2 linked regions of the Styela clava genome follow. Each later gene encodes a partner of the first gene's protein in a complex. Links are inferred from orthologs where the notes say so. Each region holds a gene or a part of one and is shown on either strand. Other genes may lie near its edges.

Evidence for each region.
Region 2: sterol regulatory element-binding protein cleavage-activating protein-like (region 1) and E3 ubiquitin-protein ligase RNF139-like share a complex: the UniProt entries of both Homo sapiens proteins name them as parts of the SCAP-SREBP complex. The link is inferred for Styela clava from reciprocal best matches to the Homo sapiens genes SCAP and RNF139.

The regions. Positions count from the first base shown.
Region 1 is NC_135259.1:11,967,572-11,971,502, reverse strand, and holds the start of sterol regulatory element-binding protein cleavage-activating protein-like, read right to left. Parts: upstream 2,358-3,931; 5' UTR 2,266-2,357; coding exon 2,138-2,265; intron 614-2,137; coding exon 469-613; intron 1-468. UniProt on the Homo sapiens protein: Escort protein required for cholesterol as well as lipid homeostasis.
Region 2 is NC_135256.1:9,430,502-9,434,432, forward strand, and holds the start of E3 ubiquitin-protein ligase RNF139-like, read left to right. Parts: upstream 1-1,497; 5' UTR 1,498-1,716; coding exon 1,717-1,840; intron 1,841-3,146; coding exon 3,147-3,370; intron 3,371-3,928; coding exon 3,929-3,931. UniProt on the Homo sapiens protein: E3-ubiquitin ligase; acts as a negative regulator of cell proliferation through mechanisms involving G2/M arrest and cell death.

The sequences.
Region 1 (3,931 bases):
ACTGTGACTTAAATGGTTATTGACGATAATCTTATGTTGGAAAGATAATAATTTCGATACAACATACAAGAATGATCCAAATTAGATGTTATTACAAGGATGCAGGGAATCGATCACCAAAGGAAATGAGGCATGAGTGGTGGCAACAGTGATGCAAGAATGTATCATCTTGTCCTATTACTGTTTCAGAATTTTTTTTTATACGACGCCTAATCACGCTTTTCGATCTGAACAAGGACTCGCACTGATATCTAATGATATGGAAAAATCTACTTTTTTTGGAGAAACCAGAATCCATTTCGGCCTTGCATACCCGATTTATTACACCCTATGTGAGGTGGTGTGCATGGGATTTGACCCCAACATTTTAACTTGCGATACCATCACAGTTAATTAGGTAATGCTTGATAAGCTCGGCCACCATGCCCATATTTGGGGAGATTCTCATAGAATGGAAAAACAACAAACCCATTGTGGTAAATCCACCGGAACATCACGACTTGAATACGGTAAATTTTTTCCTGCTGTGTAAAGTCCTTGACTGAAGTCTGATAAAGGAGTAAGAAATTCTGTTGGCTCACTTCCAGGTAGAGGGAGATTCAATAAGGGGTAGCTAAAATGAAAAGGAGGTAATTACAAGCAAGTGATAATCTAATTACACATTTTCTATATTGTAAAAAAGACTTTATGGTCGTACTTTATATATTTCAATTTCTTCTTCAAAGAATCACAGCAGTAGCAGAAATCCTATTACCGAATTTTGCTGCCAGCACACAAACAGAAGAATTCAAATAATCAATCAATATGAGAAATGAAACTAGCAATATGTAATTAGTGTTCATACCAGATAAAAATGTAAATACCAAACTTCTGCAACATCTGCTGAAAAAGCAAAGATTAAGAATATCAATAGCCTAGCACAGGGTGGTCCAAACCGCGGCCCGCCGACACATTCCCTGCGGCCTGCAGAGCAATTTTAGCGTGCACTAAATCATTCGCAGATATTTGTATTTACTGGCAAAACTTGAGTTATTTTCTAAACTATTGCACTTGAGAATACCCTTTTTCCTAATCCCGATGTCGGAATTCATGTTTGTTAAAATCACAGAATTTGAATGTTGTAGCTATAAACGTCAAGACGGTGCCAATATGGGAATGACGTCCTGTGATTGGTACAAGGTGAATGGATTGTCTTGTGCAGTTAGGACCAAGCCGATGAGATGAGTCGCGCTTTTTATCTAAACTTCGTACTTTAAGCTCTCGTCAAGTAGCCTAACTCCTCATTTGGAGAGACGTTTTGTGCTACTATTTTAGTAAAAACACTCCTATATTTTCAAGCACTGGCCATGTGACAGCAGTGACCAACCGCAGAGCTGACTTAGCGCCAAGCGATCCATTTTTTTAGCTGGTCCAGAGTCCCAACTTAGACGGACTTGGTTGTTCTTTGACGATAGCCAGAAGATACCAGAACTGCTCACGCTGCGAGTAATAAAATTAGTCAAATATAAAGATTCATCATACAATGAGTGTAAAAAAAGTGACCGAAGTCAACTGTGAGGACGCCGTATTTCCTAACCCACAACAACGTTATGATACAGTGTCTGGTGTGTTTTCAAGTAATATCTGTCACGAAAGACTCTAATTTGAAGCGACATTACAAAACCAAACACGAGGAAATATTATACCGTAATACCAAGGTATTTTTCGGGAAGCATTTTAAAAATAACTGAAGGTTTTATATATCTCCCTTCAACTGATTAGAACAGTAAACTCTCATTTCTAAATATATAGTATTTTAAGTGAGTATACTCGTGATGTTTTGATCATATTTGGGTTCATCTTTCCGACTGCGGCCCGCGAGACATCCTGAAAAGTTTTTGCGGCCCGCCAAAAGAAAAGATTATGCTTCATCATTTGCTATCGCTTACTCTACCAGACATGACCATACATTAGAAAAATGGAACCAAACGAGACAAGAGAACATGGTTCGCCTTATTATTAAGTTAATTTTTAAACTTCTCTCCATGTATTATATGAAAAATTTATATATATAGAGGCAAATCTGCCTTAAAATATCCTAAACTTTTGATTTGCACAAATAAGAAGAAATTGTCTTAAAAAGTCATGGGTGACTTACCAGCAACATAGCATAACTACTGCAGATATGCATATCATCAATACAGGATGATTTGACATAAACAATCCATGATTGTAATAAGTCTTCTCCACACGCTCTGTATACCGGTATTCAAAAAGCTTCGCCATATCGTCAGAAATAGTCTTCGGAGAGTTTGGTCTTTAGTTGATCATTGTTATACATAACTCTATGCAATTAATAACAATTTAATTAAATGATATAAATACATCTAAAATGAAAAGTAACATTGCTTATTAGGTGGTGATACAGTAAAAATATGCACATTACCACCAGGACAGCAGTATGGCATGAAGATTCCAAGAATAGCCCCCACATTGAATGACATCAATTGTAACAGTGAGGGCAAATTCCTTCCTTTATGAGACAGTCTGAGCCTCCATTTTACTACAGGAGTGGTGACTCCTCTACGGCCCATGGGCCGGGGCCACAGCCCATCTAATTGGGCCACATGGGCCGTGGCCAAATCAGAAAAAATTCAATTATCTTAACAAAATTTTCAATTTTCACCAAATTGTCAATACTCGAACCAAAAAAATATACTCCTGTAGTATGTGTACCAGGTTAGGGTTAGGACAAAAAAAATTCAGATTTTTTACATTATAGTTCTATTATGAGTTCGGGGACTGTCTGTGTTAGCCAAGTGAATAGTTTCTTTACACAACTTGATGGGCCGCGGCCCATAGCCTGATGGGCCGAGGCCCAATTCGATGGGCCGTGGCCCCGGCCCATGGGCCGCAGAGGAGTCACCACTCCCACTCTCATTTTGACTCAAAATGTCAAAATGGCACTGGAAAATAAACTAAAAAAAAGTGCAATCTATAAATGCACTGTCTGACTGTACACGCAACCGTAATTTCAGCGTTTTTTTGTTCTTCGGTAATTACCAAAACAAAAGACTGAAAGAAGAGATATACATAGATTTGCTGAGTATCATTACTATTTATTAGACTGGAATTGTTTGAATCCAATACAAATCTAACATAATTTCCAATCCGATACAATCTGCAGATCTGTTCCGATCGGATTTTGACCGATGTCAATATTCAAATTACAGTTCTGCATATTGCAATTAGACCTACCGGTACCGTATTTGCCATTGGAACTTTTAGGCTTTCAAAAACCTTCATGGGCCACGAAACTCGCAAACACATTTTAATCGTACAAATAATGAATTACCGGAATTATGGAGTTGAGGCTACAATGTTGTTTTTATCAGATTTTGCTGGAAAAAAATTTGACCTGTTTTATACATACCACTGTCCCAATACTGTAATATAATCTATAAACCATGTATTTTTATCAGATTACCTTATTCAGTTATTACAGTATTAACCAATTCATCAATTAGACACGATTTTGCGATTTTGTAAAGAGTTGACAGCACAGTCTTACCGTTCGCCAGTTCGCGTTCGTTAAGTTACGGTACCGTACTCAGTCTACCCTACAGCCCTGGGGTTGTCAAAGCACTGTATTCAAACCCGTGAAGCCCACGTTATGTAGTTTACCGGTACAGCGGTACGGTATTTCTACTGCCATACATTTCTTACCTTATACGACATACGGTAGAGCGGTAAGTTATCGGCATCAGTAACCGAAAATCCCTGGCTCAAACGAATAGGCCACGCGTGACAGAAGCAGAGTGATACCGTACTATACTGAGGCATCATCACTCCCACAAAGTGTTTCCCCTGGTTTTGTCAAATTTTTTGTGTTGAATTTGATTCTATATATTTTTTCAAAATTTTTGACGCTTACTATTTACATAAAGACCAA
Region 2 (3,931 bases), on another chromosome or scaffold:
TTATTTTTATATTTATTCCGGGGTAATCATGTGGCGAGCCACGCCTCTCGTCCGGTTGCCGGTTCATGTCGGGCATGGGGTGGAGGAGAGAGAGGGAGATTTCATTAAACAACACAACACTAACCGGCGTACTCCTGGGTACTCCTGAGGTATGCGCACCAAGATGTCGCATAACCTGAACCCTAACCTGGTACACAACCGGAGTTATGCGCCATCTCGGTGCGCATACTTCAGGAGGTCCCAATGATGAATATAAAAGCCACAGTTTCGGATAATATTGTCCTGTGTGGGTTTGCAAAATCGACGAAGATTGTGAAGGCCCTAAAAACTATGGATATCATTTTATTGAATTATATTATAGGACAAAAATCATAGTAACACAGCTTCTGTGTCAATAGATGTTAAAAATATCCCCCAGGTTCAAGTATTCAATACATAATGATTAAAGCAGAAGAACCACTCATTATGCACTGTATTATTTAAGAGCGGGTAGGCTACAGTGCTTCTGTTTCATGCTGTTTCCATGTGTTTTGCGCAGTTTCCCTCTGTTTTGTGCTGTACGGCAGGAGAGTGCAACCTTTTTCACTGGCGTGCCAAATTCAAGAAACTGAGTAAAGCCGCGGGCCGCACCTTTATTTATTATAGACTTTCTAGTAGTTACAAGCACAAAAATTGTTTATATTTTCTATAGTCACCTTATGTCATTATTAGGGTTTCTTGCAGAAATAGTGAGTTAAACGTATAAACTTCTGAAGAAACTGCTATTTAAATTTATCGCCACACCGACTTTAATGCAAGTCAGTGAGAAACACGTTTTTGTAATATATATTGTATATTTTGCAAGAAAACTTTGCTAGCTGGTTTTGCTAATACAACAGTGGCACTCAGGCACTGGTATAGGCTTTGTGGCGCAGAAGGATTAGAATTTCTCGCACGTACCATATTACCTAAACTAAATGCTCGTTTCACGGGCACGCCATTCAAAGTTGTTATTTCTCCGCGGACCGCACAAATTTTTCTTGCGGGCCGCATTTGGCCCGCGGGCCGCAGTTTGCACACCCCTGCTGTACGGTATCCTTCTGTTTCCCTCTGTTCCCTCTGTTCTGCGCTGTTCACCTCTGTTTTGCGCTCTTTGCAGCGTTTCGCGCTGTATCCATCAAAGTGAATTATAGTCTCTTTGGTATTCAGTAAGTTGTGAGACCATCGGTTAGCTAAGGTAGGTTAGGACAGTACTGCAGTAGGAAAAAATGACTAGCCAAACGTTATATACGGTACCGGTACGGTACTGATATACATAATATACTGGTTTTACTCCAAGAATATTAGGGTACCGAACCAGTTTCCTGCTTTCAGGCTTTGCATGTTCCGGTACCGGTACAGCAGTTCAGGTAACTTTTGATACTTTCAAGAATTAAGGTGTACCGGTACCGGTACCGTATTACGGTACCGTACCGGTATATGATATCTGTGAACGCAGCAGTAGTTACACCTGTACACGGTGTATGAAAAAAATCATTCGTTACGTTGTTTATTTGGTTCTATTTCGTTATGCAATACAGCAATAGGTTACCTAACTTGGGTGTATTTACATTTTTGTAGCCTGGGCATGCATGTTATGAATCAAATAGTCTGATTGAAGGCCCGGATTTGACATGCGATTCTTAATACAGTAATACCACAAAACGGAGCAGTTAAGGAATTAAAAAAATTCATGAAATGGCTTTTACAACATCTGATCTACTTCGACTTCCGTTGCTTGTATTTTTTGATGCAATTGTGGCAAATAGAATCAACCTTTGGAGTTTTGGATTTATTGCTGGATATGCACTCTCTTGCATCGGTGAGTTAAGTGCTTAATATGGTGAATAAACAAGCCGTCATGTCAGTATGCATTTCATGCTTATAATATTACCTGTAAAAACTTATTCTATTATAAACAGTGAACCGTCGTGTTTTGGTATGAGATTGGACTGTTTCAACTTTGTTTTTACTATGATTGTGTATAATAAGGCCAAGTGCAGTTTTAAGTATTCTGTGGCATCTGCAGCTGCAGTAAAACCATGGCAGTATTTCCATACCATGGCCGCTACGGTCAAACTCATGGCAACTGACTTTTTAGCTGCCACAAACCAATGTCGAGCTGCCGTTACCGCGGCAGCAAATTGAAAACCAATGGCAGGTAAAATTTTGCTGCCGTAATCGCGGCATGTGGGCCGTAAAGACAGGGCTGTCTATTATGGTGACAAATATTGGGTAAGTTGGAACGTTTTTCTTATGGATACAGTTTTGATTGATTTGGGGTTAGGGTTAGGGTTTAAGTAGATATAATTCCACATGATCAATTAAAATCTGGTACATTAATTTGTGAATATACCGTTAATACTGATTACTGAATAGCGCTATAAAACCATGGCAAGAGCTGCCGCGGTTCGTTCGTGGCAGGAGCTGCCATGAAGTGGTAAGAACTGCGCCTCAATAAGGCCAAGAGCAGAGTGGAAGTGGTGACTCCTCTTCGGCCCATGGGCCGGGGCCACGGCCCATCAAATTGGGCCTAGGCCCATCAGGCTATGGGCCGCGGCCCATCAAGTTGTGTAAAGGAACTATTCACTTGGCTAACACAGACAGTCCCCAAACTCATAATAGAACTATAATGTAAAAAATCTGAACAAAATTTTGCCCTAACCCTAACCCGGTACACATACTACAGGAGTTTATTTTTTGGTTCGAATATTGTCAATTTTGTAAAAATTGAAAATTTTGGTAAGATAATTGAATTTTTCCTGACGGGGCCGCGGCCCATAGCTTGATGGGCCACGGCCCATGTGGCCCAATTAGATGGGCCGTGGCCCCGGCCCATGGGTCGTAGTGGAGTCACCACCCCTGTAGCAAGAGCATGCCTTTCAACACCAGTTACAATAACTGAGCGAACAGCTTTTATACGGTTTATAAGTCCACATATTTCCACTCTTCAGGACTAATTACCATAACTCATATTAGTGTATCAATATCAACTTTGTCAGTTCTGTAGTTTGTAATCCACTAGAATCGATTTGGAGTATCCTTGGAATTGCAAAGGGTTTTCTCGAAAATTGCTTCTCCGATACCATAAAGCAACATTTTCTAAGTTGTTTTACACATGTTCACAGGTTTATGCATCAGTATTGGAATATTCACCTGTCAACCTCCAATTATAATCAAATTCTACAGATTGACTGCTGCAATTTTGGTTCATTGTGTAGTACTGGGATGGAATTATTCAGTGACAAGACTAATTCACCATGATTATTATATCAATAATGTTTACAACAATTCAGCAATGAGCCAAATCAACGATTATATATGGAATGGAAAAGAATTACCATTTAGAGAGGTTGGAATATTTCGTATTTCTAATCAGTTTTGGCATAGGCACATCCAAAAAATTCAATTTCTAATTGAAAATTGCTGATATTTGAAGAACAATTAAATAAATCCAGATATGGTAATTTTCCTATTGAATGTTTAATTATATTCAATTGTGGTTTGAGAAAATTTAGTTTTTATTATTATTCACCCAGTGAAGTATTTATTCCAAACATGAATGGTAATTTAAACAAATTTTTTGTACAAGTTTTCTCTTACAATGTGGTGATTAACACCAATGGAAAAGCTGCAAGCGAATACTACCATGCTTAATGCTATAGTGGTATTTTATCCATGTAACAGAGTTAGAGAGATGTCAGTAGAAAACAGGTGAAATGAGAGATGAGGCTGAAACAATTTGAGACAAAAGTGTAAAAACTACAGCTAGGTATAAAAAAACTTACAGACAAGCAGTAATCTTTCATCGATGAATTGAAGAAAAAAAATTGCTTCAGCCTTCAAGTAACATTTTACATTCTGAATGAATCTTTTAAAAAATTAAATTTTAATAATTGTTTATACACAGGTT